Linked DNA regions of Callithrix jacchus. The main gene of each other region encodes a partner of the protein of the gene in region 2 in a complex. Links are inferred from orthologs where the notes say so. Each region holds a gene or a part of one and is shown on either strand. Other genes may lie near its edges. The genes, in order: CYBB, CYBA, RAC2 and RAC1.

Region 1 (7,333 bases), on a different chromosome or scaffold from region 2:
GGCCCTCTCTCATCCTCTGGGAATATAGGAAGGCTGAGCAGGAAACATCACTTTTTGTAAAATTTTTAGCACTTTTTTCACTTCTGAGAGGAAAAAAAATCACAATGGGCTGATTTCTTACATTGGGTTCCCTGGTAAAGACTGAGAAATAACTGCATGAAGAAGGTTTCTAAGGCAATCTGTAGGAGATAAACCTGGAAAGGAAATAGGAAGGCAGAAATGAGGATAAAGAAAAGCTGATCCTCTTTCTAGTTGCAACTGTGACCTCAGCTGATTCTATAGGGAATGCTGGAATTGAGATGGCCCCTTGGAAAAGGAACTGGGCCTGAGTATTCCTTTGTCAGCCCATCATTGGTAATGGGCTACAACTGAGGGCAATTCCCTGTGACAGACACAGCTGCTGAAGGAACTGCTTTGTTGGTCCTAAAGCAGAGATCTAGATGGGCCAATGTAGCTCAGTTTTTTTTATCCATATGGACACTAAAAAGGCAAGTATTTAGGAAAAATGTCATTTCCAGACATATGCTTTATTCTACAGGTGGTCACTCATCCTTTCAAAACCATCGAGCTGCAGATGAAGAAGAAGGGGTTCAAGATGGAAGTGGGACAATACATTTTTGTCAAGTGCCCCAAGGTGTCCAAGCTGGAGTGGCACCCTTTCACACTGACCTCTGCCCCCGAAGAAGACTTCTTTAGTATCCATATCCGCATTGTTGGGGACTGGACAGAGGGGCTGTTCAATGCTTGTGGCTGTGATAAGCAGGAGTTTCAAGATGCTTGGAAACTACCTAAGTGAGTAAAAACTACACATTACCAATGCGTATGAGTTCAGGAAAAATGGCACTAAATAGCTCCTTTTCTTCCATGTTTTACTAAGTCTCCAACAAAACACACAGGTTCTAAGAATATAGGTAACTATTTCTGTGGTCGCTATTTCATATGCGTTTATGCATATTTTTATAAATCTTATGTGAACTGTGAAACTTTTGAATCAAATATTAGAAATAAATGCCCGCAAACTCCTTTAAATATGTAAGGGTCAAAGCCAAGTTATATTAACTTTCCTAACAAATAAAATTACAGTATATCAAAAATATTCTTAAATTTTAGTTGGCATAATTTATTTGAGGTTAAATGCCATATATTAGCCCCCTTGCCTCCTTTTCCCTGCATGCCTAACAATGGTATCAGGTACTTAGTAGATGATAAAGAAAGGTTTGAGAGTTTGTTGAATAACTGAATGAATAGACAAATGAAAAGTGGAGACATTAAATCTACAAAATGTTATGATATGGCAAATTCTCACTTCAATGTGCAGCACGTGCAGAAGTTTCGAGTGGGATGTCCTGGCAAGAGATAGGGTGTGTGTGGAGGGGGGTTTGTTGTGTGTGAAGTGGGGTGGGGAGATAAAAAAATACTTATGCTGAGTTACCAAATGTTTTTGGTTACCCAAATATTTTTCTTCTTACTTCCAAACCCAACATTGGCACTAAGGTTTGTTACTTGAAAGGTATTTCGTAGAAAGAAGCACCTAATAGATACATTGTTCCAATATGAATTAACATATTTCACATCCCCAATAATCATAGGTGTCCCAGCTCACTCTGAAGAACAAGACATCTCTGTAACTGTCTCCTCCCCATTTCTCTTCAGGATAGCTGTTGATGGGCCCTTTGGCACTGCCAGTGAAGATGTGTTCAGCTATGAGGTGGTGATGTTAGTGGGAGCAGGGATTGGGGTCACACCCTTCGCATCCATTCTCAAGTCAGTCTGGTATAAATATTGCAATAACGCCACCAATCTGAAGCTCAAAAAGGTAAGTCCTTTCATTTATTGGAAGGCCTGAAGCAGTCACCACACTCTGCCATGTGAAGCCTGAAAGTGCTTTCAGGGCTGAGGTTGACAGAGACCATGGGATGTGAAGAAAAGCTTCCAGTGGTTCCGGAGAGACAGACCTTTCTTCAAAAGACTAAGTCCAATGTGCTTCTAGAAAAGCAGGCCTATTAGTGATGGGAAAACATTGTATCTGTATAGTGATGCTGGAAGTTCAGAAGAAAGAAAGATGGGAAAGTGTTCACAGCTCCAATTTAATAGCTATCATTTTTGTATATCCTCTTCTAATATTTTCACGTTTACATATTTTTAGAAAGTTTTGTATATTGAGCATGTATAATTTCATGTCCTGCTTTTTAAAAACATATTATAGGAAGTGTTTTTCAATGTCTTCACAGGCTTTATAATGATGATTTTAAATGATCCCTTCATGTTCCACTGAGAGGATATTGAATAATTTTTCTTTCATCTTGTGTTGGATGTTGAGATTGATTCTATTTCTAGCCCCCCTCCCCCTGTCACCAATACTTTTTATGCAAAGGGAGGAGAGGAGACCTGAAATTTCTACTTATGAATATCTCCTCAGGATCAATTCACAGGGGATTTTTTGGTTACCTATAAATTTGGTTTTATTGTGGAATAAAGGGCATCCCAAATAAACCTCAGGCCATTCTAATAACTGAAAAGATAAACTCTAATAGGGACATTAAGCCTACTTTGACTTTTCATTCTCTTTGTACCTCTTTTCCATGTGGGAGGGGATGTGCGTACAACCTTATTTGTCACCTAGAAACTCATGAATGTCTGGCAATAGCAGGCAGGGAAGAATTTCTGTGGCAGTCCCTGCTAGTCTAAATCCCATCAGACTTTCTGAGAAGAGGTTCAAAGGAAGCCAGACTTTCTGAGAAGAGGTTCAAAGGAAGAGCAGACCCAGAGGGAAACTTGGTGGGCTAATAGTTTTTCCTTAAGCTATATATTTCTGAGGTCAAGTCAGTTATTTACTGCCCTGCTAGCCATGAAGACCAGAGCAGGTTCATGTAAACTAGCCTGTGAAATGTTCAGAACCTCCTGAGAATCTATGTTTCTAGGCATTCTGAGCAACAGGAAAAAGTTTAAGGAACAGAAAGTAGAAATCACATTTTAACGCTGATAGGGCCTACCAAATATAATCTGCTTCATGATCCACCGCATTTTCAGATCTACTTCTACTGGCTGTGCCGGGACACACATGCCTTTGAGTGGTTTGCAGACCTGCTGCAGCTGCTGGAGAGCCAGATGCAGGAAAGTAACAATGCTGGCTTCCTCAGCTACAACATCTACCTCACTGGCTGGGATGAGTCTCAGGTAAGGACAAGACTCCAACGCTCAGGTCCTTCCCATAGTGTACAGGACTTACGGACTTCCCCTTGGTTATTGGTGTGTCTTGTGTACTATTATTTTTCTAAGTACACTTAGTGGATTTAGTGATCAAGTCCATTCACTCTCATTCGGTATCCCCACATTATATTTAGACTGTTCAGACTAGATTCAAAGTCAAGGAGCCTGTAAGGGAATAAATGCCCTTGACATTATTAGGGCAATTCTCCCACCAGGCACTCTGAAACCAGGTGGATGAGATGATGCATTGGGTTATGGGAGGGAAATTTAACTTTCTCTCCCTGTCTGTGTGTGTGTGTGTGTGTGTGTGTGTGTGTAAAACAGACACTCTCCAACTTACAGTGGTTCAACTTATGATTTTTAAACTTTACAGCGAAGTGGAAGCAATATGCATTCAGTAGAAGCCATACTTCAGTATTTATTCAATAAATTACATGAGATTTTAAACCTTTTATTATAAATAGGCTTTGTGTTAGATGATTTTGTGCAATTGTAGGATAGTGTAAGTGTTCTGAGCACCTTTAAGGTAGTCTAGGCTAAACTATGATGTTTATTAAGTTAGGTGTATTAAATCCATTTTAAACTTATGGTATTTTCAATTTAATGATGGTTTTATTAGGATATAACCCCATTGTAAGCTGAGGAGCATCTGTATGTATAACATGCATAAGTATATAAAGGATTCTGTATATACATATATATTTTATTATGTATTTATATATGTATCACATACACTTATATGCATATATGTATTTATAAAATCATTTAATTTACATGTTTTTGCATGTTTTACAATATACTTACTACATGTATAATTATTATGCATGTATATTGCCAGGTATTATTCTTATATATCTATTTACATAGACTGTATAATTTTATCCTCTTACCAACACTATGAAGTTGCTCCTATTATTATCCACATTTTACAGATGAAGAAACTCAGGCCAGGTTAGGTCATTTTCCTAAGAGCACCCAACAAATAAGTGACAGAGACAGAATGTACCAGAGCCTGCACTCTCAGCATCTCCCAGTAGTTCATGATTATCATTTGTAAATAAATTAATATATATCTAATGAAGGTGATATATATGCATGTATGTGTGTGTATGTGTATGTGTGTGTACAATGAGAGTGGTCTTTCAAAAATGTTTGGAGACCACTATAATAAAGCAAGCCAGTAGTTCTTAACTGGGACAATTTTGCTCTGTTCCCCCAGCCCAGACATACACCAGAGACAGTTGGCAATGTAAATATCCTACAATTAACAAGACAGCCCCCTACAACAAAGAATTGTACAGTTCCAAGTATCAAAAGTTCTGAGATTGACAAACCCTGAAACAAGTCAATGATTCCTGGAGGGGTAACATCTTTGTTAATAAGGAAACATTAATGACTTGGCCTGGAAACAGCATAAGCTGTCACCATGAATGAGAAGCTAAGGCAAGAGTCTCTGCATGTGTCTTTCCAGTGTCTTAGCTGGTATCTTAGTCCATTTGTGCTGCTATAACAAAACACCCGAGACTGGATAATTTATAAAGAAAATAAATTTATTTTCTCAAAGTTCTGGAGGCTGTCAAGTTCAAGATCAAGACACCAACATGTTTGGTTGTCTAGGAAAGGCTGCATCTTCTGGGTGGGAGAAATACAGTGTTTTTACATGGTGGCAAGAAAAAGGGCAGGCTCGTCAAATACCGTGTGACGACTGTATTCCAAAGCCCTTAAACTCATTCATAAGGGATGATCCTTCATGTCTTAATCACCTTTTTAAGGCTCCACTTCTTAATGCTATCACATTGGCAACTGAATTTTGGAGAGGACACATTCAGACTACAGCAGCTGGGTATTCACAGACACTGGTTCTGCAAGCCTGGGCATTTTCCATGTGGACCCTGTCACTGTGAAGACTGGATTCCCATTTGGGTTTTGACATATTATTTATCACAGATTCTCCAAGTCTTAAAGGACTCTTGTAGCAAATATGAATTAGGGAAACATAACCATAAAAATTGTTGCTCCAGAAAAAAAGTGGTTTCAAAATGTCACTTCTGCAGTTTAAAAACACAACAAAAACACTTTGATAAAAATAAAACTCAGGAAAACAATCTATAGTATATAAGTTGCTTTACTGTTTTGTTATTTAAAAAGCCAGGCACAGGTGTTTTTTTAAACTCAGTAATTTATTGGTATTGAAAAAGTAATTGTTAGCTTTGCAAAACTTGTCTATAGAATTATTAAATCAGAGTGCCCACCTTTCTTAACCTCCTCTATGCCCATTATCCATCTAGTGAATTTAAAATTTGATTTACTTTTTAAAAATAAATTTAACCACTTTTATGAAAAATACCTGTTGTTCAAACTGAAGCCTCATAGATTGTAGCAGAAAAATAGCATGTGAACACACACACACACAAACACACACACACACACACACACACACACACGCTTTAGGCTTGATTCGATGTCTCACTATGCAACCAAAGTATTGCTGCATTTTAGTCTAAAATTGTTACATCTTCTAGTAATTCTCCCAAAGGAGTTTAAGTATATTACAGTAAAGTGCAAAAGTCAAACATAGAGCACAGAGAAAAACAATGAGACACTACTCATTCATCAATGCTTGACTCAAATCCTGTGGCCCTAAACCTTCCCCTGTTCTTCCACTGCACCTTCCTTCTTTGTTCTCGTTAGGATACTTGTGCCTCTTTCATGACTCTCATCACACCCTGTTCGACATATGGGACTATTTATATTTGTACTTCAAATCTCCCCTTCTAGATTGTAAATTGCTTGAGAGAGATCCAGTTTGTTCATCTTTGTTTACCTTCTAACATCCAGCAGGGTGCCTTGGTTAGAATAGTTTGTGAATTATGTAAATACATTGTATGTGATTTTACAGCACGTCTTTTTCTGAATTCATGTCCTTTCCTGCAGGCCAATCACTTTGCTGTGCACCATGATGAGGAGAAAGATGTGATCACAGGCCTGAAACAAAAGACTTTGTATGGACGGCCCAACTGGGATAACGAATTCAAGACAATTGCAAGTCAACACCCTAAGTAAGGAGTCTGTCACCAAGATGTTTTTTAGGCTTGTGTCTGCCTAAAGCAGCAGCTCAGATACATATTGAAAATTGTATATTTTAGAAACTCAGATACATATATTACTATATAAAGGTTGAATTCATGTCCAACAGTACATCCCAGGTATCTTCAACTTTAAGAAGGAATATTTAAATTTTATAAACAATACCTGGAGAGTTATTTTTAAAAAATTTCCCGGGTCCCCATCTCAGACTTTCTGAACCTGCTTGTCCCAAGTAGGGGCACAGCTTCGTTCTTTTCTTTAGTCTACTAAATTTCAATAGTGGAACTACTTCTTTTAAAGATTCGATATAATTTACACTTATTGTTAAGAAGACACTGTCTCCACTTTTAGTTATAACTTCTGGGTCTAAAATCTTAAGGTGACAGATGTCTCAAGGTGTTTTCTGCTCTCACTAAAACTTTAGTCATTATAAAACCTTGAGGGGGATCCCTTATCTTGCTAGAACACCTGAGAAACTCAAGCGCTCACCATACATGTACCCTTTAGACTATTGCTTTTTGCACTGTAATAAGCATACAAAGCACCTGGGGATCTCTTTAAAATGCAGATACTGATTTAGAAAATTTGGGGTAGGGCCAGGTAATCCACATTGTTTTAAAAGTTTGTGGCAAGGCTACTGATCAGAAACTACACTTTGAACAAGGCTTTAGACTCTAAAATTTAGAGAAATGAAGCCACACCAAGTAGTCAGCATAGTTGGCTTGTTCCTAATTTCAAGATGCCAGGGAGAGTTTAGGGGGCACAGAGCCCTGAGGGAAAGTAGCCGAAAGACTCATGAATTCACCCCCATTTTCTCTGTGATAAAAGTTCCAAAATTTCTATTGGTCAGACTTTATTTTTCCAGGGAAGTCAACTACCTTTTGAACTATCCAGCTGCTCACACAAACAGGCTGAACCACACTCCCTCTGAGCAATGTGAACTCTTTGCTATTTGTGGAAAAGACAAAGGAGCAGAGGGGACTCTGCCCTGGGGCCACAGATTGACAGGAAATTCCCCTACCTGCTTTGTAGACAT
Region 2 (7,859 bases):
ACTGTCTCCAGCCAGGCGTGGTGACTGACACCTATGATTCCAGCACTTTGGGAGGCTGAGGCAGGTGGATCACCTGAGGTCAGGAGTTCAAGACCAGCCTGGCCCATATGGTGAAACTCCATCTCTACAAAAAATTCAAAAATTAACTGGACAAGGTGGTGGGCACCTATAGTCCTAGCTTCTCCAGAAGCTGAGGCAGGAGAATTGCTTGAACTTGGGAGGTAGAGGTTGCAGTGAGCCAAGGTCATGCCACTGCACTCCAGCCTGGGCAACGGAGTGAGACTCCGTCTCGAGAGCATAGGATCCCGCATCCCATGGGTGGAGACATTCACAGGGTTGTGAAGCCACCTCCTTCACTTTTCCATCCCTGTCTCCATAGCAGCCACCTGCCATCTCCCCTCCCTGGGCCCTGCCAGCTAGGAATACCTTCCTGTCTCTGGCCTTGCCTGTCCTAGACGCTTAGAGAAATGCACATGTGTACCATGCCCCTGCCCTGCTTTTCCAGGTTTCTGAGGGGGCTGCAGGTGAGGCCAGCCTCTCTCCCCGCTGAACTTAAGGCTGCGCTGGCCATGGAGCCGACTCCTGGTGGGGTCAAGTACATCATCGCCACTCAGGTGAGGCCCAGTACCCTGTGGGGTTTCCTTTCCTGCCAGAGGGGCCCGCCCAGGCTCAGCCCTGCTCCCTGTCCCTACCGTGTTTCAGGCCAGAATGCCTTTGGCACTTGCATTTCATTCATTTGCTCTCAAACAGGAGGCTGCAGGCCACTAGCGAGGCCAGAGCAGCAGGACTGGGCCAGGCTGGGGTGGAAGGATGAGTCTGATGCAGGCTCCCAGGGAGACAGGAGGGGAGTGCCTGGGATGGGTGCTGCTGGGGCTCCCCCCACCCCAACTGGCCCAGTAGACCAGGACTCCTGCTTCTGACCTGCTCAGGGGGCCAAGCCCTTGTCAGCGATCACACCCGCCCGAGCCATTGCCTTCAACTTCCTCTCAAGGGCCGCGGGCACAGGGCTGTGTGCTTCCAGGCACTGTGGTCCTCTGTCTACCCAGTGACAGGCAGTGCCCCAGGCAGAGGGCCCCCAGCTGGCAGGGGCATCTGTGCCTGCAGGAGCTGGGTGTGGGTGTCACTTGGGTGGCATAGCTTCTGACCAGGACCCACTGCTGCTCTCCTGTGTCCAGCCCCTACACATGCTGGGGCACAGGGCAGTGTGCTGCCATTGCTGGTGACCTGACATGGATCTCTACCTCCAGGTGGGGCCGGGGCCTCAAATCCTGGATGACCCCTACACCCACCTCCTGGGTCCTGATGGCCTGCCGAAGCCAGCTGCCTGACCGCCTCCGCAGGACTGCACGCCACCTGGAGAAGGGGTGTCCTCACCAGAGCTAGAAAGCGGGTGTGGTGGACTGGCTGGACCGCTGGGACTTGTGTGTGGTGGCCTGGCTTCGGGCCCATGGGCAGCGTGCTATGGGGCAGTGCGGGGAGACCTGCGGCTGCCGGATGTCAGGAGAGGCCCCCACCGAGTGCCTCAGCTACACCAGCACTTCGCCAGGATGGATGGGGTTGGGGCATGAAAGCTGGCAGAGCCAGGTGCGGCAGGGCTGAAGGGCTTTCTCACCGCGCTCCGGCCGTTCCCACTGCTCCAAGACGGGAGTTCGGCAGGAAGTTGGCATCCCTCAGGGCCAGGGAAGGGGTCGCTGTGCTGCAGCAGCCACCTTGGGCCTCAGGAAGCCACCAAGTGTCTCCGATGAGACCCCCAGGCCCAGGTGTTACGGGAATGGTGGCAGGAGTGGGCAGCAGCATGGCCCTCGTGGCCGTGGGAATAAAGTGGCATTGCGGCCTCTGTCTCCTGCTGTTTTCCTTCTTTTGTTGTTTAGATTCAGTGAGGTCCTCCTGTTTTCCTGTTTCCTAAACCAGCATTCCTGGGCTCCTGCTCAGAGTGGCCTGGGACTTGCAGGGAGTCCAGGTGTGCCCTGTGAGGGCCTGGGGAGCCAGGTAGAGGCATGGGAGGCTCCCCTGAAACCCCACAGTGCCTCAGGCCGCCCCTAAAGTCTTCCCATGGGCACTGGGCCCACCTCCCACTTATCACCTCTGCTGCCCTCTCCTCACCCTTACACCAACCCTTGCCTCCCATCCGCAGGCTGGACATGACAGGGCAGCTGTCCCTGTCCCCTCCCCCTGAGTCACAGTCACAGTGCAGTGATGGCGAGGGGAGGCCCACAGTGTCAGACTCAGGCCACGCCTGTGCCAGCCTAGAGTCAGGGTGAAGAAATGGGGGCAGGGCCTCAGGCTGCCACGGGGAGGCCACCCTTGGCCCCTGTAGCATCAGGGTGCAGAGGTGTCCTGAGCTGTAGGGGTGGCCCCCAACCCCCAAGGCTCGGGAGAGGCGGATCTGCTCAGGAAGCTGACCCTTCACACCTTTCTCTGCTGTTCCTAGAAGGCTTGTTGACACAGGACAACAAGGACACAGTGGTACTTTGGAAGTCCTGCGCTGGGCAGGGGCACTAGTCAGTGCGGGAGAGCAGAAGCTGGGAAACGCAGACGCCCCGCCTGGCCTGGGGCTGCCACGCTGAGCCCCTCCTGAGCCTCGGTCGCGTCTGGAGAGGGCGAGGGCAGAAGGCTCCGGGACAGCCCCGCACCCTAGAGGCGGGTCTCCGCCCACCCGCGGTCACCTGGGGGGCTGGGGGCGGGGCCGGGGCGGGGCGGGGCGGGACTGGGCCGGGAGCGCAGGGGCGGCAGTGCGCGCCTAGCAGTGTCCCAGCCGGGTCTGCGCAGCCATGGGGCAGATCGAGTGGGCCATGTGGGCCAACGAGCAGGCGCTGGCGTCCGGCCTGAGTGAGTGCGCGGCAGGGGCGGTGGAGGCTGCAGCCTGGGGGTGTCCCGAGACCCCAGCCGGGGACCTCAGACTACTTACCGGGCGGGGAAGTGGGGCACCAGGCGGCTGGGCTGTGATGGGATCAGGCCCGGAGGGTGCGGGGAACGGGGGCTGGAAGGAGGAGTTCCGAGACCCCGAACAGTCCGCTTGCAGACCCAGCGGAGCGGCGCCTCCTCCCCCATTCGCTTCCCTCAGTCCCCGACTCCGCGAAGGAGGAAGTTGCAGCGCAGGGAAAGAGGCGGTTCAGCCCCGGTGGTTTCCGGGGTGATCGCCGCCGCCCCCCCCCCAGGCCCCTGAGTGGGGGCTCTGGCCTGGACATCGGGAGAAGCTCCCCTCCCTTCGGTAGCCAGCTGGGCTGGGGATCAGGCCCCCCTGGGCTTGGGGTGGGAAGGTGGGCTCCTCATGCTGTGGGGCTCAGCCCTCCTCATCTGGAGTCGCCTGGGATTTCACAAGGCACGGAAACCACCGGGTGACCGCCCTGCCCAGCCCAGTCCAACATCCCACCCTGCTGCACATTTGCCCTGATCTGCCCACCCCAGCCTCCCCACCCCCTCCTCCAGCTGCCGGGGCTTCCTTTCTGTTCTGTATGTTCTAAGCATGCCCAGGGCCTTGGCACAAGCTGCTGCCTCTGCAGAGCCTCATGGCTGTCCCATTTCTTTCTCAAATGCCACCTGCTTGGGGAGGTCTCCAGAACGTGGAGCCCCAGGAGGCAGCTGGCCCTGAGAGAGTGGGGCCCTTGACAGAGTCCCTGTACACAGCAGGTGCTCTATAAGTGTGGCTGGGTGCCACAGTATGTCCTCAGGCCTCCCTGGTGGCACCAGCAGCAGCCTTGCACCCTCTTTCGGAGGGCAGGCTCAGGACTGGGACACTTCCCCAAAGATGCACGGATGACAGGCTGAGTGGACTGAAGGACACTGCCCTGCCTTCCTCCAAGGCAGATGGGCAAGGTCAGGGAGTTAATGTGTAGCTGAGCTCAAACCACGGATAGGAAATCTTCAGGGAAGAACAAGGGGTGACAAGAGCAATGCTGGCAGGGTGAGGCGGCCACACCTGTAATCCCAGCACTTCGGGAGGCTGAGGTGGGAGGACTGCTTTAGCCCAGCGGGTTGTGACTGTGACTGTGGCACAATGAGCTGTGTTTGTGCCACTGCACTGCAGTCTGGGTAACAGCAAGATCCTGTCTAGAAAACAGTAAGCAGGGCCAGGCACCATGGCTCACGCCTGTAATCCCCGCACTTTGGGAGGCCAAGGCAGGTGGATCACCTGAGGTCAGGAGTTCAAGACTAGCCTGGCCAATGTGGTGAAACCCCGTTTCTGCTAAAAATACAAAAATTATCCAGGCATGATGGTGCACGCCTGTAGTCCCAGCTCCTGGGAGGCTGAGGCAGGAGAACTGCTGGAACCCAGGAGGTTGCAGTGAGTTGCGATTAGGAGAGCCACTGAACTCCAGCCTGGGTGACAGAGGGAGACTCTGTCCCCCCCCCAAAAAGAAACCAGTAAGAGGGAGTATCAGAAAATAAGCAAAAGAAAGGGGCAGAAATGGCCCCATCAGTCGGAACCAAAAGTAAGACCGACAGCTGCCGGGTTTGGAGAAGCTCTGCGCCAGGGACACTCCCAGATGCAGAAACCACACTGGGCATATAGGCTTTCATGCATCAAACAAAGACACGGTGACAAGTATGTCCATTCGGGGGTCCCAGAGCCCAGGAGCACAGGCCCACTGGTGCCTGCAGGTCAGGCCGTCCCTTGGCCGCTCCTGGGCCTCGGAGCCCAGGCACGTCACACACTCCACTCCGCCAGGCCATGCGCCACCAGCTCTGCTCTTCACCAGCGCAGGGGGCTGCCTCCTGGGGTGTCCCCGACTCTGTCACTGTGCTGTGGGGATCCGTAGGGACAAACACATGGACTGCAGAAGACAGTTCTTGGTGGCCTGGTGGCCCATGGTAGAGAAAGGGGGTGGCCCAGGCCTCCAGGATGGGAGCCACTCAGTGCCTGACCCACTTCTCCCCGCAGTCCTCATCACCGGGGGCATTGTGGCCACTGCCGGGCACTTCACCCAGTGGTACTTTGGAGCCTACTCCATGTATCCTTCCACCTGAGGCGGGGGTGGGCAGGGAATGCCCAGGGCAGAGCCTGGGAGCCACTTCACAGGGAGCACTTTGCTTCCGCTCCCCAGCACTGCAGCCAGGCTGGAAGACAGGGCGGGCTGTCCAGGGGTTGGGCAGCCCAGGCCCCTAGCCTGGGCCATGTGGTGGTCAGTGGCAGACCTGCCAGCCTGAGTCCTAGCGAGGGGTGGGCAGGTGGTGTCCCCTGAGGGCCAGGGCCAGGGCCAGCACTGGGGCCTCCCTAGGACTGCTGGGATCCCCATTAGTCATCCACCTTGGCCAGCCCCTCCACCTCCTCTGCCCCATCTCAGCCCTGCTGCCCTACCAGACCTCCCAACAAGGAGCAATGGGCAGGGTGGTATGAGGGCAGGTGTGGGCCAGCCTCAGGTGCACCTCCTGTGGCTGTTTCCTGCCCTGTGACCTCAGGCAGTGGCTGCCTCACCCCACTTTTTTTTGAGACAGGGTCTCGCTCTGTCCCCTAGGCTAGAGTGCATCGGTGCCATCATGACGCATAGCAGCCTCCACCTGGGCTCAAGCAATCCTCTCACCTCCGCCTCTGGAGTGTCTGGGACCACAGGCGCATGACACCGCACCTGGCTAATTTTTAAATGTTTTGTAGAGATGAGGGCCTCACTATGTTGCCCAGGCTGGTCTCAAACCCCTGGGCTCTAGTAATCCTCCCGCCTCAGCCTCCCACAGTGCTGGGATTCCAAGCGTGAGCCGCCATGCCCGGCCCCTCTTCATGCTGTCTTAGTAAAGAGGGCTCACCGTGTGGCCCCTCAGGCTGAACTGGGCTGTTCCTTAACCACATGGCTTCAGTGTGGCGGGCGTGTTTGTCTGCCTGCTGGAGTACCCCCGCGGAAAGAGGAAGAAGGGTTCCACCATGGAGCGCTGGTGAGTCACCTCCTGCATGCTCTGGGGTCTGTCCCAGGGCTGTGGGGCCCAAGCAGGGCCCACAGGGTCTGGTATGTGGAGTCTGGTTCCTCGCTCGGAGGCTCTGGAACCAACCATTCGGTCCTTGTGGGCAAACCCAGGCCCGTGCCTGCCTGGCATGTTGCCTGGGAGGAAAGAGGCCCGGGTGCCCTGGAGCGGTCCGGAGTGGGAGAGGCCCACCTCACTGTCCCCCTTCCTCCCTCCCACAGTGGGCAGAAGTACATGACCGCCGTGGTGAAGCTGTTCGGGCCCCTCACCAGGAATTACTACATTCGGGCCATCCTGCACCTCCTGTGAGTCCCGCCCCACCCCACCCCACCCCCTCTGGGGCTCAGGACGGCTTGGAGCACTGTCCCACCTGCCGGGCTGCCTGGCCTGGAGCCACTGCCACTTACCTGGACATTTTTCTAAACCAAAATTCGGGTCCCCAGGTGTGTCAGGGCCCCTGGAGCCTGTATCTGCTGTCCAGTGTGTGGGATTCCTAAGGATCCTCCCCAGACCTGAGCAGCTCCGATCACAGCAGAGTGGACTGGGCCCACAGGCCCTGCTGGGGGGTCTTGCCTGGGCTTCCTGGTAGCGTGGAAGTTCCCACGCTGTGTGTCTGGTGGTCGCTGCCGGCCAAGGCCGGGACACCTGCGTGTGGCTGCCCTACAGCTGCGGGGGCTTCCTTCCAAGTGTGCAGAGCTGCTCATGTCCCCATCAAGGCTGAGAACACTTAGGACCCAAACAAGCCCCTGGCTCCACATGTCCCCTTGGTCTGTGGTCTGTCTTGTCCTGAGACCTCATGGCCTTGGCCCCCATACCTGGGGCTCCGTTCCCTTTTCTGAGTGCCCTTCTGTGTCCCTCCCCCCCAGGCTGTCGGTGCCTGCCGGCTTCCTGCTGGCTACCATCCTCGGGACCGCCTGCCTGGCCATTGCCAGTGGCATCTACCTGCTGGTGAGTAGTGCTCTCTGAGGTCGGCTCCGGCCACCCCCAGCCCAGCCCTGCCCTGACACCCTCAGACAAGCATGGTCCTTGAAGCTGGCTCTGAGCCAGCCTGGAAGCAAGTGCGAGCTGCGGCATGAACTCACAGTGTGGCAGGACATGACTGCTGCAGCGGCTGCTCTGCACATCTTGTGTGTCTGCTCATTTCTCTGCTCATTCCCCGCAGCACAGCCCTGGGAGGGGTACTGGGGTCCCCGCTCTACAGACAAAGATCAGGAGGCTCAGAGGTGCCGGAGCTGGCCTGGAATCACACCACTGCTGCAGGCCCTACGTGGGCTTGGGTCCACTTATCAGGCTTTTCTCACCTGAACCCTGTCTGAGCTGATTGATGGGCGGTGCCAGGATGCACGCTGCCACGCATTTTTTTAAACTGCCGACACCTGGGTTAGCTTTGTGACACTAGCACCCTGTTAGAAGGCTGCTCGTGGGACACAGTGGTCCTTCTAAGAGGGTAGGGATGGGCAGGAGGACAGGTCACAGCAGGACAGGCCTTGGGTGCAGTGCCCTGCCTGCCCTGGGCTCCGGAGCAGATGGCTGCAGGCTGCCCCTCACGCGGGGTCTGTGGGCGGACAGAGCCCTTGGACTTTGCTCATTCATTTCCTTTTGTCCCCAGTGCAAGTTCCTCCCGCCCGCAGAGAGAGCTGCTTCCCCCGGGTGTGCACCTTCTAGTGTGTGTGCAGGATTCTGTGTATACCTTCCTCGTGTAATGTGACATATTTTCCTGCTGTGTTTTTTATGGGATAGGAGATGAACAGCACACACTCCCAGGAGTCTGTGTTTCTAGGAAGCCCGTTAAATCCCTGTTCTTCAGTCTCTCCCCAAACCCCCGCGTGCAGAAATGCCTGGGAACTCTTGGGGGGCTGCCGCCCACGGTGGGTGAGTGGGTGGCGCCCACCAGACAGCAGGGCCTTCTCTTCTGGGCCACCCTCCTGCCCCCCCCCAGCCCTGGGCGCCTTGGGAGAATTTGG
Region 3 (7,863 bases), on a different chromosome or scaffold from region 2:
GAGTGGGCGGGAATCCTCTTTCCCATTTTGTATGTAAGGACAGGTGCACAGAGGGGCACTCACCAGCATCAGGACTGAGCTGGGGCAAAGACGGCTTTCTAAGCTCTCTGCCTGGGTTTCCCTGCCCTCTCCTGGCTGCCTGCCTTCCTCCAGCCTGGGCCAGGATGTCTAAGGCAGCTGAGTAGAATGTCACGAGGAGAGAGATCAGCAGAGGGAACTCGGTCCACTCAAGTCTGGGGTGGGGGCTGGGTAGTGGGGGATCCTCTGGGGTGGGCTGGAAGCATCTCAGCTCCAGGGTCTCTTCTCCCTTCTGCCTGCCTCCTCTTCCTAGGAGAGCCTGATCCCTGCTCCTAAAAGGGGGTTTCATTAAGATCAAGAAATGAGGGCCCCAGCAAGGTTCTGTGTGGACCTTGGCTCTGAAGCCAGACAGGACCGTGTAAGCCTGGGAAGCAAGCCTCTTCGTGGCTATGAGGCTCAGCTTCCCCGTGGGTGTCCTGCGCATGCTAATGGCCATCTCCCAGGGGGATCCAATGAGATCACGTGTGCATGACATCTTGTGCAGGGCCCAGCACGAAGCAGGCCTTTGCTAGGTGGTGGCTATGATCGCTCTTCCTGCGGTCCCTCCCATGATGTTCCATTCAGGTCAACTCAAAACACATGTGTTGTGTGTAAGGCAAGGTGTGTATGATACCACATAGAAGGTTCTGTGCTAAGACAATGGGGAGACCCAGAAAGGACTGGCCGTGGCTCCCTGTCCCCCACAGGCTCATGATCATGGGAGAGATCAGATAAAGTCTCTCTGGGGAGGGGAGACCCCTTCACCATAGATCAGAAAGGCTTCCTGGAGGAGGGGGCACTGGAGCTGGGTATGGAGGCTTTAGGCAGGTGGATGTGGGGAGAAAAAGCACTACGGGGAGAGGAACAGCTTGAGCAAAGGCCCTGGGGTAGGAATGTGCAGGGAACTTGTGGTGAACAGTAGGGTCCAGGGGAGGCAGGGCCTGAAGCCAAGTAATGGGTGATGAGGCCAGGCAGGAGGTTGAGTGAAGGCCATCAGGGGCCTTGAGTGCCATGCTAGGGAGTCAAGGAAATGTCCTAGGAGTGACGTGGGCCCCTGAGGGCTGGCCGGAGAGGGGCTGGTGCCTCCCCAGTCATCCGTCCCTCCTGAGTCTGACGCCAATACACTCCCGCCATGTCCAATGACAGCCCTGCCTCCACGTCCTGCAATAGAGCGCAGGGCCTCTGAGGCCTGCAGATGCCTCTGTTCTGCCCCTCAGCATGCCACGGCCCCAGGTGTCCCTGCTCCCTGGGGCCAGACCCTCTGGATCACCTCCTCCTGGAGCCCAGCCTGCCTCCACAGAGGCTCCTCTCCCAGCCCCTGCTCCTGCCCAAGCCCGCCGTTTCCTCTACAGCGCTTTGCTTGGAGACCCAGCCTAAAGGCCACTGCCTCCTTCCTTCCTCCCTTTCCACCCCTTCCCCCCCCCCACCCCCAGCACTTCTTAGTGCCAGTGCTGCCTTCTTGGCTGGACCATCAGGCAGCTCTGCTCCACTGGAGGCTGTGGCTCTGGCACCCCATCGGGTGCCCACACAGGGTCTGGCCCACAGGAAGTGCCTGAAAGCGGGTCGACTTGGTGACGTTCTCTCCCCTCCTCCCAGCACCTGCGTGTCCCCAGGAACTCACACGGTGGGGATGTACTCTCCAGGGAAGGCGTTGGTGGTGTAGCTGATGAGAAGGCAGGTCTTGCCCACGGCCCTGAAAGACAGGAAGTGCAAGAGGGCGGCGATCATGGGCTCTGCTGGAGACATGGGGAGGTTTCTGCCCCATCCTCTGCGAAGACCTCAGCATCCACCCAGCCTAGCCCTCTGGGCCCTGTCTCCCTGTCTGAGACACCCCATGTCTGTGTTCTCACACCTGAGAGCCTGCAGGTCCTGTGCGTGTTTGTTAAAGTGGAGACTTCAGGGTCCAGCCCCAGAGATTCTGACCCACAGGTGTTCGCAGAGCTGGGAATCTGCATTTCCCACAGGTTTCTCCAGGGACCAGAGATGTCACACAGAGGGGGTACCCCACAAACTCAGGCCATGCCGAGGGGCCCCGACGCCTGGCCTGGGCTTCAAATCCCAGCTCAGTGGCATGACCCTGGACGAGTCACTTAACCTGCCTCTGCCTCAGTTTCTCCATCTAGAAAATCAGGATGAGCCCATCCCCATAGGAGTGTGCTGAGGAATAAATCCAACGATGCCTATCGAAGCACCTAGCACAGGGCCTGACGCACGGCAGCAGCCGGTGGCTGCTAGGGAAGGCCTGACCCAGCTCTTCCCTCTCACCTCCCCATGGAGCAGAGCAGTTACTAGACCAGGGTTTGAGTCAGAATGGGCTGGGTTCAAATCCTGTGAGGCTTTGGGCAAACTGCATAGCTTCCCTGAATTCATTTTCCCACCTGTAAAAACCTATTAGGTTTGGTGAGAGGACAAATAGAGAAGGCCGGGCTAACCCCAGAGCTGGTACCTAGGAAGGAAGGGATCGGTAATCGGAGAACGTCATTATTTGCGCACCTCCCCCACCCCCAGCATTTGAGACTGGGAGCAGGTGCAGGTAGCTCAGCCAAAGCCCGGAGACCAAGGGGCAGCTCTGGGCCTTCCCCTGCCCTGCTTGGTTCTGTCACTTCCTGCTCAGAGGAGACAGCTCATCCTCTCCTCTCTACCACAGTCCTCCCCGGGGCCTGTCCCGAGGTAACTTTGAATGACTGGGACGTTAACCCTTGACTTCCGCCTGCCCCTCTTCAGATCAGATAGAAAGCAGAAGTGAACAGGCCCGGGCCGGCGTGGGCAGATAAGCGGCCATGTATCAGAATCAGCTGAGGCTGGTGGGCAAACGGGCCCACCCCCACCTGGATGAGTCAGAGCCAAAGTGGGGGCCACAGGACCCAGGCCAGGACAGCTGAGTCTCTTACAGCCTTGGGCTGCTCCTCTGTAGCATGGGAGGGCTGGACAAGAGGCTCCTTCCAGCTAGAACATGCTGCGATGGACTTACAGAAAGCCCCAAGCTGGGCCTGTGGGTTGGACCCTAAGACATGGCTGCTGGCAGGCACGACAGATTGACAAACGGGACCTGTCCCTTTATTTTGTGTTTTTAAGAGACAGGTCTTGCTCTGTCACCCCGTGGCACAACTATAGCTCACTGCATCCTCAAACTCCTGGGCTCAGGCGATTCTCCCACCTTAGCTTCCCGATAGCTGGGACTACAGGCGCGTGCCACCACTCCTAGCTTTTAAAAATGTTTTTGTGGCCGGGCCTGGTGGCTCATGACTGTAATACCAGCACTTTGGGAGGCCAGGCAGGCAGATCACAAGGTCAGGAGTTCAAGACCAGCGCCTGAGCAACATGGTGAAACCCTGTCTCTACTAAAAATACAAAAGTTAGGGAGGTGTGGTGGCATACACCTGTAATCCCAGCTACTCAGAAGGCTGAGGCAGGAGAATCGCTTGAACCTGGGCAGCGGAGGCTACAGTAGCCAAGACTGCGCCACTGTACTCTAGCCTGAGTGACAGAGTGAGACCCCCCCCCCCCCGCCAAAAAGATAAAAAAAAGTTTCTGTAGACATGGGTTCTCATTGTGAATGCCTAGGCTGGTCTCAAGCAACTCTCCCCACTTGGCCTCTCAAAGCGCTAGGGCTAAAGGCATGAGCCACTGCACCTGGCCTAGACTCGTCATTTTACAGATGAGGAAACCGAGATTCCCCAGGAGACATGACAGCCTGGGGGTCACTGGGATCTGACAACTGAGAAGGTGTCAGCCCAGCCTGCCCCTCCCCTGCAGATCCCACAATCGCCCTCCCATCCTGCGGCCACCTCCTCCCTCTCCTCTCTGTCTCTCAACGTCCCCTTGCCCCTTCTGCTCCTCGCCCACATCCCCCACACATCCTCCCCAACCCAGCAGGCTGAGGGGAAGGGAGAGAGAGGGGGGGGTGGTACCAGCAGGGGGTGGTTATTGAGCACACATTACAAGCAAGACAGCCACTCAGCTTATGTCCAGCGACCCCACAGCATCCCTAGGGCATAGGCCTCCTCCTCCCAGATGGCTGAGGTTCAGAGACATGCTGTGACTTGCCCAAGGCCACACAGCAGCACCAAACCAGTGACGAGAGCCCAAGTCAGCCTGGGGACGAAGGCTGAATTTCTGGTTTCCCACTTCGCGGGTGCATCCACAGAGTTGAAGGCTGAGGCTCACCTCCGTGGGAGACCTGCCCCCAGCTTTGGGGGTGCAGGTAAGGGGCCTGGGCACTCCCAGCCATAGTCCTGCACCCTCCACCCAGATGGCTTCCAGGGTGGGTGGGCTGAAGAGGGTGAAGCTGTCCTCAGCCCACCCCGGGGTGCTAGCTGTGAGCCCTAGGAGAAGAATGAAGCGACTCCTCCAAGCTGCCTTCCAGGGACACCTAATTCTGCAGAGCCAGGGGCTTCCCCAGGGACACCAGGGCGGGAGGATCTCACAGCATCCCAGTTGGGGGCTGTGAGGAGGTCCAGCCAGGCACCTACCCATCTCCAACCACCACACACTTGATGGCTTGCATCGTGTCCGGGGCCTGGACAGTGTCAGTGGTGACAGCTCAGGGCCAGGCGCGTTTCTGCAGGCACAAGGGGTGTGGAGGCTGGCAAGGCGCCTGCTGAAGAGCAGCAGTGGTGGGGTGGGAGGAAGCGGAAGGGGAACTTACCCAAGCTGCTGCCCTCAAGGTCGTTTGCAGGGGGTGGAGCATTCGGTTTGGAGGAGCAGCTGGTGGGCGGGGCGCTCAGGTGCTGGCTGAGCCCTGGCCATCCCTGCAGCCCCCCACCTCCGGCCTCCCCTCTGTGGTAGGAGGCTCAATTTCTGACCACTGGGCAGGCCCAGAGGCTGTTCTCCAAGAACGTGAGGCTTCCAAGTACACCTCAGTTCTAAGCACAGCATTTAATGAGTGCCTACTGTGTGCCAGACATACTACCAGGTGCTAGTGATCCCAGGATACAAGAGACAGCTGGTCCCTGGAGTTTACACCCTTTGCAGAGGGGGAGGCAGGACTTCATCACGGGAGATTAGAAAGCAGGCAGGAAGTGACTGGGGCAATGGGGACTCTACAGAGAGGACCTCAGTGTTACCGAGAGGGAGAGCTGGGGGCCTGCAAGCAGCATTGGAGCTGGCTCTTGAAACATTTGCTCTAAAGAGGGTACTCCAGGTTCACGGAGATTTCTTGAGCCAGGACCCAGGGGCTCCGCCAGGGAAGGGCCTGTGTGGGAGGATGGGGAGTGATGAGGCAGGAAGGGAAGGTGTGGTCCACAGATGGAGAAAGGCATGTTGAGGGGAAGTGGCAGGCAGTGCCCTACAGGCACCAAGCCTGTCCTGAGGCCGCCCTGGGTCACCAGGCACTCTGGATCTAGGAACTGTGGCCCACTTCCCTGATGTGAAAACTGACGGTCTGAGAAGTCATTTGACCACCTAGCCTGAAACCACCCTGACGCTCAGTTTACTCCAAGCTCTTCTCCAACTGGAGCTCTTGGCTCCAGCTGCTGTTTGAGGGGACAAAGCCTGCATTCTCCAGCTCTCAGGGAACTCCCTTAGCCACGAGGGCTCTCCGAGGACACTCGGGAGAACATTCGATCACCCCTGTTGGCACCAAGTTCACTGATCGTCGTGATCACTCCCCAACCCCACGCCTTTCCAGGTCCAGGGGGAAGGGACAGAGGCAGGGAGAGGAAGAGCCACTGGTCATCCACCCTGGACCGTCCCTCAGGACAAGCCAGGAATCCCACAGGAGTGTGCAGAGGGCCAGGGCCCGCTGGCTGGCAGAGCCCAGGATTCTCAGCAGGCTCCTGGAGGCCGAGCCCTTTCAGAGCAGTTCACACAAGTTACTGCGTTCACAACACTGATTTTTACAGAGAGGAAAACACAACTTCCTAAAGCGCCTGCCCAGCACCGGGCAAGTCAACTGTGACACTTACCAGCAAACCAGTGTCTCTCCAACGCGCTTTGCATACGCTGTGCTGAGACCTTGGGTGGGAGACGCCAGGCGTTCCCTGTGGCCACCCTGGGGCTTCCTCCTTCACTGCCCCTTTATTTTTCCACCCACTGCTAGTCCCTAGGGCAACCTCCGTGTTAATTTAAAAAACAAAAGGATAACGTATTAAATGCAGTGCGGTACCCCAAATTAGAACCTGGAACAGATTTTGGGAGGCCGAGGAGGGTGGATCACAAGGTCAAGAGATCGAGACCATCCTGGTCAACATGGTAAAACCCCATGTCTATTAAAAAAATACAAAAAATTAGCTGGGCATGGTGGCGCGTGCCTGTAGTCCCAGCTACTCAGGAGGCTGAGGCAGGAGAATTGCCTGAACCCAGGAGGTGGAGGTTGCGGTGAGCCGAGATCGCGCCATTGCCCTCCAGCCTGGGCAACAAGAGAGAAACTCGGTCTTGAAAAAAAAAAAAAAGAACCTGGAACAGAGAAAGAACATTCGTGGAGCTTCCATGAGACAGGAAGAGTAAGTTCTGGTGTTCTGCCACACAGTGGGGTGAATAGAGCAAATCACAACGTCGCGAATATTTCGAGAGAGCTGGGAGAGAAGGTTTCAGATGTTGTTGCAGCAGAGAAATGATACATGTTGAAAGTGATGGACGTGGGAATTACCCGGATTTGATCATTATATGGCTATGCATGCATCGAAACATCACATCGTACCCCATAAACATGTACAATTATGTGTCAATTACAAATAAAAAATTTTTTTAAAGAATTCATTTCTAGTTCTTGAAGCTCACTACCACCTCTGCCTCCCAGGTTCAAGCAATTCTTCTGCCTCAGCCTTGAAAGTAGCTGCGATTACAGGCATGCGCCACCACGCCCGGCTAATTTTGTATTTTTAGTAGAGACAGGGTTTCTCCATGTTGGTTAGGCTGGTCTTGAACTCCCGACCTCAAGTGATCTGCCCGCCTTGGCCCTCTCAAAGTGCTGAGATTACAGGCGTAGGCAACCATGCCCAGTCAGCAACTTCTTAAATCAATTTAAACAATTAAACTGGCTTTAGATCAGGTGTGGTGGCTCACGCCTGTAATCCCAACACTTTGGAAGGCTGAGACGAGTGGATCACAAGGACAAGAGATGGAGACCATCCTGGTCAACATGGTGAAACCCCGTCTCTACTAAAAAATACAAAAATTAGCTGGGCATGGTGGCACACGCCTGTAGTCTGAGCTACTTGGGAGGCTGAGGCAGGAGAATTGCTTGAACCCAGGAGGCGGAGGTTGCAGTGAGCTGAGATCACGCCATTGCACTCCAGCCTGGGTAACAAAAGTGAAACTCCGTCTAAAAGAAAAAAAATAATATATATATATGAGGCGGGGTACAGTGGCTCACGCCTGTAATCCCAGCACTTTGGGAGGCCGAGGCAGGCAGATCACCTGAGGTTGGGAGTTCCAGACCAGTCTAATCAACATGGAGAAACCCTGTCTCTACTGAAAATACAAAATTATCCGGGCATGGTGGCACATGCCTGTAATCCCAGCTACTCGGGAGGCCAAGGCAGGAGAATTGCTTGAACCTGGGAGGCAGAGGTTGTGGTGAGCCGAGATTGTGCCATTGTGCTCCAGCCTGGACAACAAGAGCAAAACTCCATCTCAAAAAAAAAAAAAAAAATCTATATGGAAGTATAATTTGCATACAATAAGTTTTATCCATTTAAAGCATATAGTTCCATTCGTTTTGACAGATATATGCATCCACAAAACCTCCCAGGATACAGAGCATCATAGAGCATTTCCATCACCTTGAAAAGCATCCTTGCACCCCAGCATAGCCCACCTCTCCCTCGGTTTCTCCCTCCCCACCCCTCCAGCCACCGCTCAGCT
Region 4 (7,122 bases), on a different chromosome or scaffold from region 2:
TCCCTTTCAGGTACGAGGTAAAGCTGGATGGTTGAAAGTGTGGCTTGGGAATTGTATGCATTTCGTAAAGTAGCATAATTGCCTTTTTCCAGGAGAATATTTGATCAATCTAGCATTTTAGAAATTCTTAGGCGTTTTTAAATTTACTTGTAGGTAAATATTTGAATTTGATTTGACACAAAGTACAGAATGGAGGTCAGAAGCACTCTGCACTGTGTCCTCTGCATCCACTCTTCATGCCTCTGCTTTAGCCACAGCTGCCCTGGGGGCGAGTTCTCCAGAGGCCCTGGCTGTGCTGACACTAGGGCAGTGTGAGCATGGTTTTCAGCTGTGAAGGTGCCAGTTACACACTAAGCTCTCCTTCCTTGTGGAGGGAAGGACCCGAGTAGCAAATATTAGAGCCTCCACTTGGTGCTGGAAACTGTGACAGGCCACCTCCCAAAGGAGTTGAATTGAACCATTGACCACCTAAAAACATTTGTACTTGACATGCCAGTGGGGAGCCTGATTTTTTTTGTAGATTCTGTATTATTATTATTATTTTAAAATTTTATTTTATTTTATTTATTTTTTTTGAGACGGAGTTTCGCTCTTGTTACCCAGGCTGGAGTGCAATGGCGCTCAATCTCGGCTCACCACAACCTCCGCCTCCTGGGTGCAGGCAATTCTCCCGCCTCAGCCTCCTGAGTAGCTGGGATTACAGGCATGCGCCACCATGCCCAGCTAATTTTTTGTATCTTTAGTAGAGACGGGGTTTCACCATGTTGACCTCGTGATCCATGTGCCTTGGCCTCCCAAAGTGCTGGGATTACAGGCTTGAGCCACCGCGCCCAGCCTAATTTTATTTTTTTGAGATGGAGTTTTGCTCTGTCTCACGGAGATGGAGTTTTGCTCTGTCTCACGGGCTGGAGTGCAGTGGCTTGATCTCGGTTCACTGCAACTTCTGCCTCCCGGGTTCAAGTGATTCTCCTGCCTCAACCTCCCAAGTAGCTGGGATTACACGTGCCTGCCACCGTGCCTGGCTAATTTTTGTATTTAGAGACAGGGTTTTGCCCTCTTGGCCAGGCTGGTCTTGAACGCCTGACTTTGTGATCCACTCACCTTGGCCTCCCAAAGTGCTGGGATCACAGGCATGAGCCACCATGCCCAGCAGATCCTGTTTTTAAAATTAACTCTGCTTTTGGGAAACAGGAGAGCAGATTTTACAGAAATGTTGGCATACCTTCATACTTGATTTTTTTTCTGTTTAGATAGGCAGAAAGGAAACATCCCAGGGGTCTGGTCTGATCCTCCCTATCCTCGAAGAACTTCCCATGTCATTCTCCCTTCACACTCCCCATTTTCATAAGTAACTGGTGGCTTGACATGCTGGGTTGGTTTGGGAGCCTCTGACAAACTGAAAGGGTGGATTGGGTGGATCAGGGAGCGTCTGACCAAGCCGCCTATACCTAGTATAGTAGACACGCTCTCTGCCTGACAAGTGCTTCCCAGCAACATCTAGAACACAAAGTGCATGCTTTGTTCTAAGGTCATTGTCTAAATGTTTCCCTGTGTTTCCTTTTTGTAGGATGTGTTCTTAATTTGCTTTTCCCTTGTGAGTCCTGCATCATTTGAAAATGTCCGTGCAAAGGTAGGTGGGGATATAAAGTATGTATGTAAGTTATAGAATGATCCTCTCAGAAAGAAATACTTCAAAATACCATTTACTGCTAGGAATTTTCAGTTAAATTGGATTTTAGCAGTTTGCTACTTAGGTACATAATTGGGTTGGTTTGTTTTTTGAGATGGACGTCTTACTTTGTTGTCCAGGCTGGAGTGTGGTGGTGACATCAGAGCTCACTGTAACCTCGAACACCTGGGCTCAAACAGTTCTCCTGCCTCAGCCTCCCGAGTAGCTGGGACCACAAATGTGCACCACCATGCCTGGGTAATCTTGAAAAAATTTTGTAGAGCTGGTTTTGTAGACCCTGGCTGGTCTCAAACTCTTGGGCTGAAATGATCCTTCAGCTTCAGCCTCCCAGAATGCTGGGATTACAGGTATAAGCCACCGTGCCTGGCTCATCAGCAGTTCATTTTATTTATTTATTTATTTATTTTTGAGACAGAGTCTTGCACTGTCACCCAGGCTTGGAGTGCAATGGTGCAGCCTTGGCTCACTGCAACCTCTGCCTCCCAGTTCAAGCGATTCTCCTGCCTCAGCCTCCCGAGAAGCTGGGATTACAGGTGCTTACCACCACACCTGGCTAATTTTTGTGCTTTTAGTAGATATGGGGTTTCACCATGTTGGCCAGGCTGATCTTGAACTCCTGGCCTCAAGTGATCCACCTGCCTCACACTCCCAAAGTGCTGAGATTTCAGGTGTGAGCCACTATACCCGGCCTAATTCGTGGATTTTTAAAGCTTCAGCTTCTGGTTCAGAAGTTTCCTGGGCCTCATTAAAATAATGAAGCACTCAGAATTGTTCTAATAAAAATAATAACCATTTCTTTCTACTCCAGTCTCTTTCACAAACTTCTTAGTAAAAATGACAAGCAACAGAGGCCCTTTAGTAGGGACGTTTTCAGTGGGGATAATGGCAGCAGAGCTGAGGCCTGGGGCTAGGTAGTTTGTTCTCATTTCTGAACAGATGATGAATTTTCTCAGATGACCCTAAGAACTTGTTTTACCAAAGACAAAATTATTTGCTTTGGGAGGAACTTCCTTCCCTTTGTCCTCTTCTCCCCACCCCCTTCCATGGTTGTAGAGCCCATTCTGTCCCGTCCTGATCATCATGATCTGGAAGTCCTGGCTTGCTAATGGAACACCTGAGATGCTCCTTACGGCTCGAGGGTTGGGCTGAAGGTGTGAACTGCATGAAGGCTGGTGGGGCGGCAGTGCCTGAAGTTAGGTGTCTAGCGTGCGTGCTGCCTGCTGGATGTGATTTAGGTGAAGGACGTCTGTAAAGGAGCGCCTCACAACCTCTGTTCCTTCTTCACATCTAGTGGTATCCTGAGGTGCGGCACCACTGTCCCAACACTCCCATCATCCTAGTGGGAACTAAACTTGATCTTAGGGATGATAAAGACACGATCGAGAAACTGAAGGAGAAGAAGCTGACTCCCATCACCTATCCGCAGGGTCTAGCCATGGCTAAGGAGATTGGTATGGAATCCTGCGTTTTTTCCTCTGCCTTGTACCTCTTTTAGTGACTGACTGGAGTCCAGTCTGGGAAAGGAGGGAGTGTCTCCTATTCGGGGCCCGGCTTACTCTTGGGAACAAGTTGGCAAGGCCCTCTGGGTCTTCATGTCAGCGTTGGAAGATGGAGGCAGGGCTGGGAGCCGGCAGAAGGTGCCCAGGCCCCAGGAGCTGCCTCCCGGCGGTGTTGTGATCAGAAGAGAGTGGTGTACATTGTATGTGGCCGTGTTTCTTGTAGGTGCTGTAAAATACCTGGAGTGCTCGGCGCTCACACAGCGAGGCCTCAAGACAGTGTTCGACGAAGCGATTCGAGCAGTCCTCTGCCCACCTCCCGTGAAGAAGAGGAAGAGGAAATGCCTGCTGCTGTAAATGTCCGAGTCCCTTCTTCTTGGCCCTGTCCCTTGGAACCTTTGTACGCTTTGCTCAAAAAAACGGTGGAGCCTTCGCACTCAATGCCAACTTTTTGTTACAGATTAATTTTTCCATAAAACCATTTTGAACCAATCAGTAATTTTAAGGTTTTGTTTGTTCTAAATGTAAGAGTTCAGACTCACATTCTATTAAAATTTAGCCCTAAAATGACAAGCCTTCTTAAAGCCTTATTTTTCAAAAGCCCCTATTCTTGCTCAGATTAAGAGTTGCCAAAATACCTTCTGAACTGTACTGCATTGTTGTGCTAAGAACACTGAGCACTAAACTGTGTAAGACCTTCGTCTTTCAGAAGACCGTAGCTTCTGCAGTTAGGAGATGCAGACACTTTCTAAGTAGTTTCCAGATGCGTAAAGCAGAACAGCCTCCCAAATGAAGCGTTGCCATTAAACTCACCAGTGATATATCAGCCCATGTTCACGACCTAACATTGTACTGTGATGGAATGGGTGTAAACAGCTCAGCTCTTTGGATCAGTCTTTTTGATTTCATAGTGAGTTTTCTAAAAATTAGTTGATCAGCTTTTGCTGAGATTTTGAACAGAACTCATGTGTTTCCTCTAATGAAGTATTCTGTTTAGTTGTGGGTGTGCCGGGTGGGGTGTGTGTGATCAAAGGACGATGACGGTATTTTGACAAAATACGAAGTGGAGAGTTACACTACACTGTACAAGGAATAAAAGTGTCACGGGTAAAAACTCTAAAAGGTTAATTTCTGTCAAATGCAGTAGATGATGAAAGAAAGGTTGGTATTATCAGGAAGTGTTTTCTTAAGCTTTTCCTTTCTCTTGCACCTGCCATCCCTCCCCAAATTGGGCATTTAATTCATCTTTAAACTGGTCATTCCCTTAGTCGCTAACTTAGTAAGTGCTTTTCTTATAGAACCCCTTCTTACTGAGCAATATGCCTCCTTGTATTATAAAATCTTTCTGATAATGCATTAGTTTTTTTTTGTAGATTAGTAAAAGTGCTTTCCATGTTACTTTATTCAGAGCTAATAAGTGCTTTCCTTAGTTTTTTAGTAACTAGGTGTAAAAATCATGTGTTGCAGCTTTATAGTTTTTAAAATATTTTAGATAATTCTTAAACTATGAACCTTCTTAACATCACTGTCTTGCCGGATTACCGACACTGTCACTTGACCAATACTGACCCTCTTGACCTCGCCCATGCGGACACACGCCTCCTGTAGTTGCTTTGCCTAATGATGTTCCTTTGGGTCTGTGAGGTTCTGTAAACTGTGCTAGTGCTGACGATGTTCTGTACAACTTAACTCACTGGCAAGAATACAACGTTGGACCTTTCAACCACTACAACATTTTTTAAATTGACAGTTGCAGAATTGTGGAGTGTTTTTACATTGATCTTTTGCTAATGCAGTTAGCACTATGTTTTGCATGTATGACTTAATAAATCCTTGAATCATACAAGACTGGTAATACTGGCGTTTTTCAGACTTGAACAAGTTCCTGGTGTATGTTGTTTGCCTCACTTTTAAGTCCTGGGTTGTTGGAGACAGTCATTTTCAATGTGTGTCTCCACACAGGAGGGACAGAGGGAGTGCCATCTCGGGGAGAACTGGGTGAGCCCAGTTAATAGAGCAGGCATGGAGGTGACGTTCATGTTTGGACCTTTTGAACAGCGGTGACGCTCTGATGAAGAAACCCACGTCGGGGTGTGAGCGCACATCCTGGCCCAGAGCTTGGAGCTTGAAGATGCAGATGTTGGGACCCCAGACTGGCCCTGGAAGAGTAGAGGATGGTGAACCACACACCCTCAAGGTCCTTTCCAGAGGCTGGATGGGTGGCTTATGCCTGAAAGCCCAGCGCTTTGGGAGGCTGAGGCAGGAGGAGCACTTGAACCTGGGAGTTCTAGACCAGCCTGGACAAGAGAGACCTCTCTCTACCAAAAAAAAAAAAAAAAAAAAAAGGCTTAACTTGCACTATACAAAGGTTTATGTTAAAATTAGTTTTCTTAGTATTCCTTTTTATTGCTTTGAAGATTGTTTTTGAGTATTTTTTAAACTGAGATAAATAATGTAGTTTTTGTTTTTTTGAGACAAAAGTCTTGCTCTTGTCCCCTAGGCTGGAGAGCAATGGTGCAATCTTGGCTCAATGCAACCTCTGCCTCCCAGGTTCAAGCAATTCTGCCTCAGCCTCCCAAGTAGCTGGGATTAACAGGCACACACTACACACCAGTTTTTGTAATTTTAGTAGAGAGGGGGTTTCACTATGATGACCAGGCTGGTCTCAAACTCCTGACCTCAGGTGATCCGCCTGCCGTGGTCTCCCAAAGTCCTGGTATTACAGGCGTGAACCACCATGCCCGGCTGCAGTTTTTATTTTTTGAGAGGGTCTGGCTCTGTTACCAAGGCTGGAGTACAGTGGCACAGCCTTGGCTTGCTGCAACCTCTGCCCCCTGTGTTCCTGCTATCCTACTTCAGCTTCTGAAGTAGCTGGGACCACAGGTACACACCGCCCCCCTCCCCAGCTATTTTCTTTTTATTTTTTGTAGGGTTTCGCCATGTTGGCCAGGCTGGTCTCAAATTCTTGAGCTCAAGCAGTCTGCCTGCCTCGACCTCCCAAAGTGCCGGCACTACAGGTGTGAGCCACCATACCTGGCAATATGCAGTTTAAAAAAGTTTTAGTGGTTTTTAAAGAAAAGTCTTTCCCCTTCATACCTTCTCTAGAAGGAATACTTTGTTAGCTTACCTAATTTTTGGTATTTTACCTGCCCGTGTCTGAATTAGGCTTTTTGTGTAAGTGAAACTTCTGAGTTCAGCATTCTCATCAACATTCCCACTACAGAAGATGTGAGGCTTGCTTTTCCAGTTGCAACTCTCTGCCCAAAACGCTGCTCATTCCTCAGTATGATGGTTTCGATGGACTCAGTTTAGTGCCTGCACGGTCTCTGCTATGTAAACTGCTCACTGGCCATGCTCAGTAGCAGAAAAAACAATTTCCTGAATAACTTCTGGTTTCCTTTGGGATAATCAGTGCTTTGCTTGCTTTTCTGTGTATGGAATTCAATTGTGAATTTTTTTTTTTTTTTTTTGAGGCAGGGTCTTGCTCTGTCACCCAGGCTGGAGTGCAGTGGTGCCATCACAGCTCCTGGGCTCGTGATCCTCTTGCCTTAGCTTCCTGAGTAGCTGGGACCACAGGTGTGTGCAACCATGTCCGGCTAATTTTTAAAACTTTTAGTAGAGTCAGGGATCTCCCTATGTTGCCTAGGTTGGCCTTGAACTCCTGGCCTCAAGCCATTCTTCCACCTCAGCCTCCCAAAGTGCTGGGATTACAGGTATGAGCCACTGTGCCTGTCCTCAACTGTGAATTTTCATCTATTGTCTAAACCTCTCAAGATGTTCAGATGTGTTGTCATTTTACCAATATCCATTTTCCTGAAGTCATCTGACCTGCACCTCTCTTAGGCACTGGTCTTCATTTCCTTCATCCTGAATGGCTTCTCCAAGAGCTCCTTGAGAGTGTGTTGGAAGTACGTACAGTCACGTACCACATGACAT

The links.
Region 1: the proteins of CYBA (region 2) and CYBB are in contact, whole or in part, in a cryo-EM structure (PDB 8X2L), measured with the Homo sapiens proteins. The link is inferred for Callithrix jacchus from reciprocal best matches to the Homo sapiens genes CYBA and CYBB. Residues at the interface, in NP_000092.2 of Homo sapiens: Gln3, Ile4, Glu5, Trp6, Met8, Trp9, Glu12, Gln13, Ala16, Ile20, Thr23, Val27, Gly31, Phe33, Thr34, Gln35, Arg56, Arg59, Met65, Gly102, Phe103, Leu104, Leu105, Ala106, Ile108, Leu109, Ala112, Cys113, Ile116; in NP_000388.2 of Homo sapiens: Thr116, Ile117, Leu120, Phe121, Val123, Glu124, Asn128, Asn133, Lys161, Asn162, Pro163, Gly166, Leu167, Ala170, Val180, Thr183, Leu184, Ile187, Leu188, Thr191, Ser192, Thr194, Lys195, Thr196, Ile197, Arg199, Ser200, Tyr201, Glu203, Val204.
Region 3: CYBA (region 2) and RAC2 share a complex: the UniProt entries of both Homo sapiens proteins name them as parts of the phagocyte NADPH oxidase complex. The link is inferred for Callithrix jacchus from reciprocal best matches to the Homo sapiens genes CYBA and RAC2.
Region 4: CYBA (region 2) and RAC1 share a complex: the UniProt entries of both Homo sapiens proteins name them as parts of the phagocyte NADPH oxidase complex. The link is inferred for Callithrix jacchus from reciprocal best matches to the Homo sapiens genes CYBA and RAC1.

The regions. Positions count from the first base shown.
Region 1 is NC_133524.1:38,589,246-38,596,578, forward strand, and holds part of CYBB (NADPH oxidase 2), read left to right. Parts: intron 1-538; coding exon 539-792; intron 793-1,653; coding exon 1,654-1,816; intron 1,817-3,030; coding exon 3,031-3,177; intron 3,178-6,144; coding exon 6,145-6,269; intron 6,270-7,333. UniProt on the Homo sapiens protein: Catalytic subunit of the phagocyte NADPH oxidase complex that mediates the transfer of electrons from cytosolic NADPH to O2 to produce the superoxide anion (O2(-)).
Region 2 is NC_133521.1:46,305,026-46,312,884, reverse strand, and holds the start of CYBA (cytochrome b-245 light chain), read left to right. Parts: upstream 1-2,731; 5' UTR 2,732-2,771; coding exon 2,772-2,829; intron 2,830-4,882; coding exon 4,883-4,952; intron 4,953-5,793; coding exon 5,794-5,868; intron 5,869-6,116; coding exon 6,117-6,200; intron 6,201-6,761; coding exon 6,762-6,843; intron 6,844-7,504; coding exon 7,505-7,594; intron 7,595-7,859. Other genes in the region: MVD (diphosphomevalonate decarboxylase), read left to right, coding at 506-614, 1,248-1,328. UniProt on the Homo sapiens protein: Subunit of NADPH oxidase complexes that is required for the NADPH oxidase activity that generates, in various cell types, superoxide from molecular oxygen utilizing NADPH as an electron donor.
Region 3 is NC_133502.1:208,153,476-208,161,338, forward strand, and holds the start of RAC2 (ras-related C3 botulinum toxin substrate 2), read right to left. Parts: upstream 4,676-7,863; 5' UTR 4,565-4,675; coding exon 4,530-4,564; intron 1,751-4,529; coding exon 1,679-1,750; intron 1-1,678. UniProt on the Homo sapiens protein: Plasma membrane-associated small GTPase which cycles between an active GTP-bound and inactive GDP-bound state.
Region 4 is NC_133503.1:16,136,354-16,143,475, forward strand, and holds the end of RAC1 (ras-related C3 botulinum toxin substrate 1), read left to right. Parts: intron 1-1,567; coding exon 1,568-1,630; intron 1,631-2,981; coding exon 2,982-3,141; intron 3,142-3,412; coding exon 3,413-3,543; 3' UTR 3,544-5,029; downstream 5,030-7,122. UniProt on the Homo sapiens protein: Plasma membrane-associated small GTPase which cycles between active GTP-bound and inactive GDP-bound states.